Linked DNA regions of Sus scrofa. The protein of the gene in region 1 interacts with the protein of each later gene in a biochemical or structural test. Links are inferred from orthologs where the notes say so. Each region holds a gene or a part of one and is shown on either strand. Other genes may lie near its edges.

Region 1 (4,092 bases):
GAACTCCTAAAACTAAGCTAGTCCGACTCAGGAGGTGGTCATGTGGGTCAAATTAAATTATATATATGAAGAACTTATTATATACAATGCAATATCAATATTTAATAAAAATGATGTTACTATTATTACACTCTTGGTCTCCTTTCTTTCCAGCCTTGGCATGCCCCAATTGTTCAAGAGCAAAATTGTAAGGTGGCCCTACTCAATTTTTGTAAAATGCTTTGAAATCCCTTCCTGAAAATGGCTAAGGAAAAAAACCTCCTGTCTATGACAGGTCCTAAACTCAAGGTTTGTGGTTGATTCAGCTCTTTGTCATCTAGCTAGGTGCTGTGCTTTGTTCACTTTTGGGGATATTCTATTGCCATTCTACCTGAATGATTTTAGTTTAGATAGGTCACCTTTCCTTTAAACAGGCCAAGATATCATGGTAGTCTTTATGTGCACGTGGAAAATATTCGTGTAAGGTGTTAGTAATTATTTATCAAGCCAGGACCTGGCTGATGCCTCAGGTTGGCCTGTATAGTTGGCCTGTCTTTGGCGCAGGTCATCATGGCATGGAGTCAGTGAGAAGGCACACTCTGAAAGGTTTTAGCTATCGATAGTCCAAATCCTCTTTTTTTACATGAGAAAACTGAGTCCCAGAGACTTTAAATGTCTTGTTCAATGCAGGAGGTTGAGAGATGATACTGGGGTTGGAATCTGTTCTTCTGTGTCTTCTGCTTTTTTTTTTTTTTGTTTTTTTTTTTTGCTTTTTAGGGCCGCATATGTGGCATATGGAAGTTCCAAGGCTAGGGGTCCAATCTGAGCTACTGGTCTAAGCCACAGCCACAGACAGCAAGGAAGGATCCCAGCCGCGTCTGCAGAGTACACCACAGCTCATGGCAACTCCGGATACTTAACCCACTCATATCCTCATGGACTCTAGTCGGGTTCACAACCCGCTGAGCCACAACGGGAACTCCTTCTAACTCTATTTTCACAAAATACGTTCCAAGGTGCCATAAAACCTCAGAGTCCAAGATCACTTGGAGTATGTTTCTGAAATTAAACCTAAAGAGAATGCTAAGGTCTCAAAGAAGATAGGAAAAGAATCTAGGGTTCTCATGGCATAGGACCCACTTAGCCTAGCTCAGAGTTCTCCGCCCCCACCTGCCTCGGCTCTCCACTTCCTCCGCTACCTTGCAAGCCCCACCCTCTTCAGGTGGCCCCGCCACTTCCTGGTAGCCCAGCTTCCCCACCCCCTACCCCAAGCGGAACCAATGTCCCTGGGCCCCGGGGTCGACCGGATCTTTCTTGCTCCTACTCTTCGCAGCGGTGACTCGGCAGCAGCGTCTCGCGTCATCAGTGACAGCCCCGAATTTTGCTACGCTTTGCGTCGCTCTGCCAGAGCAGTCACCTCCTCCTTGGCAAATAGTCCTCGGTGGGGTCCGAGTTCCTGGATAATAAGAGGGGGGAGGCACGAGAAATTGCAGCCAGGGGACAAGGGATCAACAAGCAGAGGGAGCTAGGGACTGAAGTTTCTGCGATAGTGTGCGAAGTTAGTTAAAAAAAACTCCCTCCCTCCTAAGAATCCTTCCGCCTGCAGTAGCGGTGGTGAGGCTGAGGGAGCCGCCATTTTGGATGTTCGGTTCCTGCTGCCACTGCTGCCGCCGCCCCCGAAGCTGCTGGTTTCATTCGAGGTTTCGGGCCGGTGAGTGTCACTCGTGGCGCTAAGAGCATACTGCTTTTTTTTGCCCAGTGCCTGTCAAGAGCGCTCGGCCGGAGACTTCCTGTCAATTCTAGGGGTCCGGTCCCAGGCCGTGGGGGGTGAGAAGAGAGGACGGAGGCTGAGCCTGTAGGGGCCCGGAGCCCCAGGAGCTCCTCGACTTCTTGAGGGCCGACCCCGAGGCCTCGGACCGGGAGGCTCTGCGCGCGGCCGCCTTCCGTGCTGCGGCGTTGCCCGGCTGGTGTGGGCCTTCTTGAACCCATTGACTTTCTCAGGCTGAGATCCTTCTTTGAGGGCTCATTCAGAAAGCCTAGGGTTAGCGGGGCGGGTCCCACCTCGGGCGGGTCCCACCCCCGCGTGTCTTCTCTGTGCCACGTATCAGCGTTCTTGTATCTTGTACCCTTGTCAGGTCTTTCGTAGAACTCTCATCGGCGTTTCCAAATGCTTCGTTAGTCGCTGTCTGCACCTGCATTGCTGTTCTCTTAGAACCGGACATTGGCCTCGCCTCTCTCTAACCTTCCTACCAACTTCTTTCCCAGTTTTCCGGGTGTTTCTTTTTCATTTTCTTTTTTTCTTAAACTCATCTGCCAATACACTGCTTATCTTCTCTCAAACTCCTGATCCTGTAGGTGTCAACTACTAATAATTCTCTCGGTCTTCTTAACTGTTGGGGAGAGTCAGGACGGTTGGTTGTGTTTCCCTGTTAGGGTTTTGTTGTAGGAGACGGGTCGAACCACTCGCTCAGAGTGTAAATATTTGTAAAGCTAATGAAACGGCTTTGCGGAGAGGAGGTGGTAGGGAGAGGCTGTCAAATGTTTTCGCATTTGTGGGGTTCCCTTCCCATGCTGAACACTTAACTTTTGGGTACTTTTTGATATTTATGTATGGTGTATATCATTGCCTATGAAAATCTACCTGTGAAAAAGAATTTCAATCTGACATAGATAGAAAGGAAAGTAACTTTTTCGGCTGCTCTGGGCATTGCTTAACAGAAGAGAGGAGTGAATGAACATATCTTAGTGACCTTAACTTTCAGTTGGTTTGTACAGTAATGTTCTTTGTTGGCTGATTCTAAAAAAGTACTTGGATTAATTTCGTGTATTGTATTTTTCTGGGGATAGTTGGATTTTAAATATCCGCTTTCATTATTCCCCATAATACTTGTCAGACTGTATACACCTTAACTTTTTTGGTTTAAAAATATAGACTCCCCAGATACCCATAATCTTACTTTTATTTTGCTCTTAACATGTTTATATTATAGCGTGCTTGAATAAAAGGCATTTCACAGTAATTCACTGATTATTTCCTACATTTCAAGTTAGGTGAGTGTTATTGAGTCACTTGTATTTCATCTCAGCCTGGATTTTTACATCTGCAAAAGAATAATAACTGACTTGAAATTGTAGCCTAGTGATTTAAACTTAGATTTATAACTTGAACTGGGTCAGATTTTTTAGTACTTCTAATCCATTTATAAGTGTATTATTCTTATCCTCAGGTTATTATCAGGTAGATAAATTCCGCTGCTAGTCATGTTTTCAGAAGAGTGAATGTTTTCATTGTAAATAGTGTTTTTGTTATTTGTTATAAGGAGACTTTACAAAAATACATTAGTTACTATTTGTGTATTTACTCTGAAGCTGTGGAGTTTCTCTTTTCCTTGAAAGAACTGTCAAACAGAACATAGATGGAATCCTCACTCATTTACTAAGTATCCTCTTGTAGTTGCTACTGACATATTCCATTTTTGAGTTCCACTTTAAAAACAAGGTATTGGAAGAACTATCACATAGGTATTATTTACTCGGTTTATTTCATGGAATTGTGTACTGGTATTTAAATACCATTCATTCTTAGGTGGTTTGTGTTCAGTTGGAGAAAGTGTCCTTTTGCTTTGCAAATGATAAGCAAAACACCATCGATTGATTAGCACAGACTTGAGTATCTACTTTGTCTAAAGAGGTTGAGATTGTACTTGAAATTAACATCATTTAGGAAACCTCAATTTATTTTCTTTTGGAAGCAATTGCTGTTCTCTAATCTGTTTCACTGACAGGAGTTCTAGATTTGGAGGTGTATTTTAGAGTGAAACTATAAAGTACAAAAATTGTCAGCAGTGCCTTTGTGATACTTAATTCCACTATTTATTTTTAAAGTCTTGAAATCAATCATGTACAAACACTCACTTTTTTTGTGATTTGTAAGGACTCTATACAAATTGAAAAAGTTGAACGAATATTTTCCAAAATATTATTTTTTAATTAAAAAAATTGAATTGGAAAACTACATACCAGAACAGATTTCAGCGTGCTTAATCCCCGTATTTGCATTTGCTGAGGATTTAAAAATTTTATGTATATAGCAGGATTTAATTGATATCAAAC
Region 2 (4,079 bases), on another chromosome or scaffold:
GGCTAATTTAAAAGGCAGTATCAGAATCTGAACCTAGGTCTCCCAAACTTTTAACCAGTGTTCTTCATCCAAACCCTCATTTCTATTCAACCAAGCTCTCAGAGCAGTCCTTAATCACTTCTCTGTTTCCTCATTTCCTAGCTTCCTCATCACCTTATTCCTTTGATAATCAGAAGAGCCATTCTATGGATCTGCTTCCACCTCCATTACGGTAATTTAAGGTGAACTGTCTAACTGGACATAGTGCTACAGTTACTGGTTCTGTAAAAGGCTTACATTTGGGAAGAAGAATTTGTTTTCTCTTGCCAGGGAAAGATGAAAATTAAATTTTGAGTATGTCTCAGTAAAATAACCTCACGTTCTAATCCTAATATCATGTGTCAGACACCCACGAAAGCTTTAAAAAGTCCTTGGTGGCAACATTCTTACATGTTATTGAATAACTTGGTTCAGGTCTCCATTCTAAATTGGGTAGTAAAATGGAAGACAAGTTATTTTTCACAACGGGCTCTCCCCTTAGATGACTTGGTGACTACTTACATGACAAATTTAATTTGAAGATTAGTAACAAAGGTGATACAGACACTATGAAATGAACAAGAGCAAGAATATTGCCTTGATTTGTCTCTTGAAAATGTAGTCTCTTCAAATTTTTAAGTACCAGAAATTTAGTCTCCTAAGATAACAAGGTTTTTTTAAATTGTTTTTCTGCTTCTGTCCTCGGGCTAAGATATAAAGAGGTAGTTCTGCAGAGACTTTTGCACTTTTAAAGATTATTTTAGCTGGTATCCCAGTCTTTCTACCGTATATTAAAAAATAACCAACGAACTTGCATCTGGAAAAGAACTATGATTTTATTTTATCTTTGGAAAGCAAAAGGTATATAAATAACAAAACATCCAAAATAAAGGATTGAGAGCTTAATGATCAAATGAACAGTTTATAAAGGAAAATCAGCAAATCACTTTTCAAACGTGGAGTTTCTCTCTTAACGAAGTTTAGCCTTACTCTTGATGCAGAACACTGACTATGATTATCAAAAGCATACAGATCTAAACATATTGTATTAAGGGCTTTATATGCTATCTAAGCCCTTAGCCCTGAATTCTCATTAACATTCTAAGGTAAGTGTCTATCATTATTTTCATAATGTACCTGAGAAAACTGGGGCACTTAAAGATGAATTAATCTGTCAAGGTTACAGAGCTTGAATCCAGCTCTGCAGGTTCAAAAACCTGTACTCCTTAGGCACTCTACTACCTTCTTGGTAGCATAGAAAATCTGAAAATATAGTCAAATTCTAAATCCTATCTGATGCACTATCCAAACCACTGTGAATTTTTTTTTAAAGTTGAAGTATAGTTGATTTAAAATATTACTTTTAGGTGTACAACACAATCATTTGACATTTTTCTATTATACTCCTTTGAAAGTTATTATAAAATACTGACTACATTCCCTATGCTGTACATTACATTCCTGGATCTAATTTATTTTATACCTAGTAGTTTATACCTCTTAATGAATTATTTTCTTCTGGTGTCACGAAAGCCTCAAGAATTTGCCATCTACACTTTCTGATTTTAGGTTGGGTGAGCAGCACAAATGAACTGTTTTTGTCACCACACTTATTGCATCATCACTAAAACCCAAAAGGAAGGGGACTGGTTAAATTCCTAAACTTTATTTCCTGCTGGCCTAGAAGATCTTACTTAACCCCTGTTACATCACTGTAATATATTCACTTTAAGTGTTAAGGTTTCCCTAGTGGTAGTAAGACACTAAAGTTATCACTTAAGTTTTAAAGAAAAAAATCAACTATGTATTAGTCATTTTACCTGTCAGGGGAGTTAAAAGTGGATCAACAGGATATAAACCTGGGTTGCTTTCTTCTTGAGGGGAAATGAAGTGTAGGGGAAAAGGATCAGAAAGAAAGAATCACAGTAAGTTATGTGGTGATCTACTCTCACTCGTATTAGACAAGCAAAGGATGAGTCGCCTCTTGAGTAACTTCAGTCTGACCACAACGGCCACTTGTTACACCTACCACCCACTCCAACACACCAGGTTCATTAAGGATTAAAAGAAACCCAGCAAGGTAAAGGACACATCGTGACCAAACCTAAGGTCTCCGCACCACAATGAGGGGCGCAGAGAACCCGTGAACTAGGTCCCCTAACCCCAAGCGTTCGCTGCTGCCCAAGAAGCAAAGCCCAAAGCCCGCAGCCAAGAGAGCTCTCCGGCCAGGGCAGCGACCCAGCTCAAGACAACCCTGCTCACCCCCCTGACTAAAGCGTTTATAGCTGGAAGGGTGAGGGTAGGGACAGGGTGAGGAACGCCTGGGCAGGAGAGAATGCGGCTAAGAGGATGTTTCCAAAGAGGAAGGGTCCCTTCCCAGACTCGCGGACTGGGACGCGGCCCGGGGCCGGGGAGACAACCGGTCGCCGCCATGATGGGGCCAACCAGCCGGGGGGCGTGACGCTGGCGGCCCCGCGCGCAGGGCCGGCTCCTTCCCACCCACCCCCTTCTCCCGCGTGGGCCTGGGCCACAACTGCCCCCCGATACTCACGCTTTGTCCACCAGCTCCCGCACTTTCCACATGTTCAACATCGTGCCCCGAGCGGGCCGGGCCGCTACCCCCTCTCCTGCTCCCCACGGACCCCGGAACACTTCCGCGTCGGGGCTGATCCAGGCCTGGGTCGCTGCCGCCGCCCGCCGCCTCAAACTCCCCCAGTCAGCTCCTTCTCTTGCCACAGCCGCGGCGCCGCCAGTGACACGTCGAGACGCGGGGGCAGAGGCGCTGCGTGGAGCGGAAGTGCCTGCCTTTCCGCCGGCTGCGCGCAGGGCACGCTGGGACTTGTAGTTCTCTCTGCGCGCCAAGCGGGACAGTTAAACAGGGAGAGTTGGAGAGGTAAGGTTAGTGTGCTTCCTCTTAAGCTCTCGGGGTTCTCCGTGCCCCTCCCGAGCCCCCTGAGCCACAGAATCTCAAACTCTGGGGGTGGGGCTCGGCACTCTGTACTTTAACAAATCCTCCATGCTCACGTTTCAGAACCAGGGGTGTAGAATCTTGCCACACTCAAACTTGCTTTTCAAACATAAGGTATTATTATGTTAATAATGATTATAAGGAAGTGTGATTGGCCTATGTATTACTCATTTGCAGAAGCTACTCTGTATTTGGTTCCAAATGTCTAAATATACTTCCTTCTCTGGGCTTTAATTTCCATCCTTGTAAATTGAATAGGTTGTGTTTCAAAACTTTTTCCATCCTTGTAAATTGAATAGGTTGTGTTTCAAAACTTTTTCCACTCTTTGACACAGTGCTTTGATATTTAGGCAACTACCTGCTATCCTTGTTACTTTATTATAAAGCTCGGAAACTCAGTTCACATTCCATGGGAAATTGTAGAAAAACAGCAGCACAATACTTATGACAGGCCCAAGAACTTGTCAGGTGAATATTCTTACCACATTCAGTGTTTTATTGCAATAGTTGTCACTTCATTTTTCTCTTGACTCTTTTTTTTTTTTTTTTTGTCTTTTGTTGTTGTTGTTATTGTTGTTGTTGTTGCTATTTCTTGGGCCACTCCCGCGGCATATGGAGGTTCCCAGGCTAGGGGTTGAATCGGAGCTGTAGCCACCCGCCTACGCCAGAGCCACAGCAACGCAGGATCCGAGCCGCGTCTGCAACCTACACCACAGCTCACGGCAACGCCGGATCGTTAACCCACTGAGCAAGGGCAGGGACTGAACCCGCAACCTCATGGTTCCTATTCGGATTCGTTAACCACTGCGCCACGACGGGAACTCCTCTTGACTCATTTTTGAGTTGGGCAACTTTGAAGTTCCTGTGGTCCAACTAATTAAACTTTACAGTTCTTTTCATTGTACATTTTTTTCTTTTTACGGCCAAAACTGTGGCATGTGAAAGTTCCCAGGCTAAGGGTCCCCTCGTAGCTGCAGCTGCTGGCCTGCGCCACAGGCACATTATCAGCGGGTCTGAGTCTCATCTGCGACCTAAGCTGCAGCTTGTGGCAACACTGGATTCTTAACCCACTGAGAGAGGCCAGGGGTCTAAC
Region 3 (4,154 bases), on another chromosome or scaffold:
TAACAGAATGTTTTCTATGTGTAGAATGTGCCAGAAGCAGTGGAAGAGCAAAAGATGAGGAGGCCTTTAAGCAATTTATAAAAAAAAAGAGGAAAGAAATAGACAAGCTCACAAAAGATACTATCCCAGTAGGATACAGACTAATCAAAATCTTTAAACTCTTTTTTCCTGCCATACCTGACTTAAAAAAAAAATATGGGCGTTCCTGTCGTGACTCGGTGGTTAACGAATCCGACTAGGAACCATGAGGTTTCGGGTTCAATCCCTGGCCTTGTTCAGTGGGTTAAGGATCCGGCATTGCCGTGAGCTGTAGTGTAGGTCGAAGATGTGGCTCAGATCCCTCGTTGCTGTGGCTCTGGCGTAGGCTGGCAGCAACAGCTCCGATTTGACCCCTAGCCTGGGAACCTCCATTTGGGAGTGGCCCAAGAAAAGGCAAAAAGACAAAAAATGAATAAATTAAAAAAAAAAAAAAATTCTACTTCTCATCTCTTGGATAAATTTTGCCCTATATAACTATTTATTCTAAAGTGGCCTATTCAGGATACCAATCAAAGCTGGCTAATATTAATAAGGTTAGAAAATGCTAAGGCTTTTTGCTTCGCTTCTTTGAACAGAAACAAGTGCCTAAGAAATGTGGTAAATTATAGTTCATGGATTTCCTCCATTAAAAGCTGAGAGAGGTTGCCCTGTTCTTTTTCTTTCCCCCTAAAATATCCTTAGGGTACCAATCATAATGTTAGCTTCCTCACAAAATAACATCAGCCCTCACCACTGCTCTCTAAAACTCTATTATTTCTTTTTAAAAAAAAATTTATGGCCACACTCGTGGCATATGGAAGTTCCTGAGCCAGTGATCGAATCTGAGCCGCAGCTGGGGCAATGCTGGATCCTTAACCAGCTAACAGGTTAGTTCCCTAACACCTGGGAACTCCTCATATTCTTTATTAAGCATTCAGCTTCTCCAGCCTCAGAAAGTTTCCAATATAATATTTACCACACATTTTTCAAGGTAAGAATGACTTGCTCTCCAGTTTAAGAATGCAAAATTACTACAACCAGAATTTAAAGAGAAAAGAAAATCTGAAGTCAATCCTTCTAACATGTATCACAATTCAGGCCATATTTACAAAAAATGTGTTTCAATGATGCTGGGCCAAAAATGGACCAATGATATTAAAATACTACAAACTAAGGGGAATGATCCACTTAACTTTCTATACCCAAGGTCCTCCTCATCTGAAAAAAACCAAAAAAACAAACAAACAAAACCCCTAAAGAACCCCAACCCAAATCCCAAACAACAAAATCCCCCAAAACCTTGCCTGGAATACCAAATTCTTTTAAATTCACATTTCCCCAGAACTTGATGCTGTTATTTATCATATACTTGATTAAAATTAATGCCACTCAAGAACATTTTAGAAACTGTCTTCACATTTAGGACAGAAATAATTATTACATATTTGTCTTCTCCAGCCAAAAATAGACTTATATCAAGTATCCATGAAAAACCCCAGTGAAAGAGTGGCAATCAGAAAACAAAAGAGAAAGAATACAGCTTTAAATCTAAAATGAAAGATGTATAGAGAAAATAACAATGCAGTTGCACACAGGTGGTTTATTGAACAGCTACTGCTCTTTTTTCCGGGCAGGAGGTGATAACTTGAAAGACTTCACAACGTAATGTTCCTAAGTCCAAAATTCAAACACTGCATATCAAAACCCTCACACTTTGTTTTCCAAAAATAATTTAGGATGAAGATAGAAAGCTAAATTTATCTCCAAACGTGTATGAGAACCTCGGGTTGGTTAGCAAAACAAAGTCAGAGTAGGTCATTACAGAAGTGGGATGGAAACTTCCCAGAATCAAGTTTTTCCTTAAATGATGAACCTGTCAAGTTGCAAACGTTCTGGATACAGAACCATGGGCAATTAGCAGCTGAATGTGACAGAGAACAAATGTGTTTAAGGGCTAAGTCTGGAAGCTTTGTTCTGATAACTGCGTACATGCTGTTTAACAGTGACTGGCTTTTTAATAAGGAGACAAGTGCTAAGAGTTAGCTCTACAAGAGCTCTATTTACGAATTCAAAGGTCTTTAGATTTTCCTACATTTTCCCGTGTGTTAGGGAAACAAAAAGGACAAGACGCTCTTAAAGAAGAAAAGACAAATAGTACATATACACACACAACACTCAAACATGTAACATCTTGGAAACACTTGTATGCTCTGTAACAGATTTTTTTCAGAGCCCCTGGTAAAGCTCTGGGAAAGGGAAATCTCTGGTTGCTTCAGACCCAGCCAGGGCAAGAAGAGAGGCGCTGGGTTCCTTCTTTACCCAGCCCGCCAGGTGCCAGCCTCACCTCCTTCTTCCCTCCCCACTCGGCCTCAGCGGCCAGTGCCCTCGAGCCCGGAGCCCCGGAGGCAGGCGCCCGGGCTCTATCAGCCTCTTCGGCCTAGGTCCCCGGAGGACGACCTGCATCCCAGTTCTAAGGGAAAGGGGTCGGCGCGGGCGAAAACTGCCATAACCGCCGACCACCCGTCGCAGGTGCAGGGCCAGCCCTGCGTTTCGGGAGCGCGGTGAAGCCCGGAGGGGCGCGTCCAGGCCTTGTTCTTCACACCCACCTGCCTCCGCCGGCGGCCCCCGCGCCAGCTCCCGCGGCCCCGCTGCCGCCAGCTCCCGTTCCTGGCCGCAGCGCCATCTTGCTCCTGGCCGGCCGCCGCTGCCGCCACCTTCTCAGCAGCTGTCAGCTCCAGACAGCCACTTCCGGGGCAAACGCCGGGCCCCACCTCGCCGCGGCCTGGGCGACGGGGTGGGGCCACGCGCCCACGTGACCTCTCAGCGCTGGGGGAGGAGCCGCGCGCTCTCATCACGTGACTCCGCCCCGCTGGGGGTCCTCCAGGTGCAATTCTAGTTCTGGGGCTGGATCCAGGGGAGCTGATTCATTTTCTGGCAAGGCTCTGTGGAAGGTCCAGCTGGAGGCAGGGCGGCAAGGCGTCATCTTTTCCCGGTTTGAAAAACTATCATCTTGATTAGCGGAAAGAGTAGATTGAATCCTATTTTTTAAACTGGATAGTGGGTACACGGGTGTTCTTTTATTGTTCGTTACTCTTTACACAAAGAGTAGATGAGTCCCTTTGATAGCTTCACAGCGCCGATTAATGATGAGCTCTACTTTTTCCTTTCAATTTGGCAGCTTCCTTCTGGTACCCGCCCTAAAAGCTGAAGGTATTCAGCCACCTGGTAGTCCCTGTTTTTCCCATACCTACAATCAGGGACAAAACAGTAGTGTTTGGGAAGATTCATTGCTCTGAACCTATCTGGGCGTACTTTGTGATGTATTTTTCTAGTCAGACTACTCTAAGTAAATATAAAAGTTGAATGTAAAGTTTTTCGAGCCTTCAAGTAGTTTGCTGACTAGCAAGATTATAATTGGCTCAGGGCTTTTGCAGGGAAACAATTTGTAATAATTGTTATCCTTTATTGGTACAAAAGACTGGTCAGTGACTTTATTGTATTTTTTCAAACCCTCAGTGTCTCTAAGCAGTATTGGCATTTTACAGATTAAAAAAAAAACCAAAAAACCCAAGGTAAAAAGTTGTAATTTTCCTAGATCACACAGCTGCAAAGCAAGAGGACCAGGATTCAAATCTAGGTGTTTGACTTCAAAGTCCTTGCTCATTTCAACTACATCCAGCAATTTTTTCCCCCTATAATTGTCCACTAATTTCATTCATCCCCTTCTTTAGATGGAATTGTGTAGCAGATGTTCCAATTGATATAGACTGATATATATAACTAAATTCAGTATTAATCCAATGACAGACCAAATTGATACAGATTTAGCCACTTTTTTTTGGCTGCACCTGCAGCATGTGAAAGTTTGGACACCAGGTATTAAACCTGCCCTAATTTCCTACCAAGAGCTACAGCAGTGACAATGCTGGATCCTTAACCCAGAGACACCAGGGAACTCGATTATTAGTGACTTTTAATTAAGACTGGGTGGTTACACAGGTGAAAATACTGAAAAAAGAAGAAATGATAAAGTCACACGATGGGAGTGTAGCAAGGATCATAGACTCAATTTCTGTTTTTGCCTGGAATACTTTGTTCTCTTTTGCCTATTGACTGTTAAATCTGCAAGACTCAGG

The links.
Region 2: the proteins of AP1G1 (region 1) and CLINT1 form a complex in vitro, tested with the Homo sapiens proteins (2 studies listed by BioGRID). The link is inferred for Sus scrofa from reciprocal best matches to the Homo sapiens genes AP1G1 and CLINT1.
Region 3: the proteins of AP1G1 (region 1) and SYNRG form a complex in vitro, tested with the Homo sapiens proteins (2 studies listed by BioGRID). The link is inferred for Sus scrofa from reciprocal best matches to the Homo sapiens genes AP1G1 and SYNRG.

What each region holds. Positions count from the first base shown.
Region 1 is NC_010448.4:14,807,008-14,811,099, reverse strand, and holds the start of AP1G1 (AP-1 complex subunit gamma-1), read left to right. Parts: upstream 1-1,278; 5' UTR 1,279-1,690; intron 1,691-4,092. UniProt on the Homo sapiens protein: Subunit of clathrin-associated adaptor protein complex 1 that plays a role in protein sorting in the late-Golgi/trans-Golgi network (TGN) and/or endosomes.
Region 2 is NC_010458.4:65,496,208-65,500,286, reverse strand, and holds the start of CLINT1 (clathrin interactor 1), read right to left. Parts: upstream 2,802-4,079; 5' UTR 2,611-2,801; coding exon 2,570-2,610; intron 1-2,569. UniProt on the Homo sapiens protein: Binds to membranes enriched in phosphatidylinositol 4,5-bisphosphate (PtdIns(4,5)P2). May have a role in transport via clathrin-coated vesicles from the trans-Golgi network to endosomes. Stimulates clathrin assembly.
Region 3 is NC_010454.4:39,067,037-39,071,190, forward strand, and holds the start of SYNRG (synergin gamma), read right to left. Parts: upstream 2,807-4,154; 5' UTR 2,702-2,806; coding exon 2,625-2,701; intron 1-2,624. UniProt on the Homo sapiens protein: Plays a role in endocytosis and/or membrane trafficking at the trans-Golgi network (TGN). May act by linking the adapter protein complex AP-1 to other proteins. Component of clathrin-coated vesicles.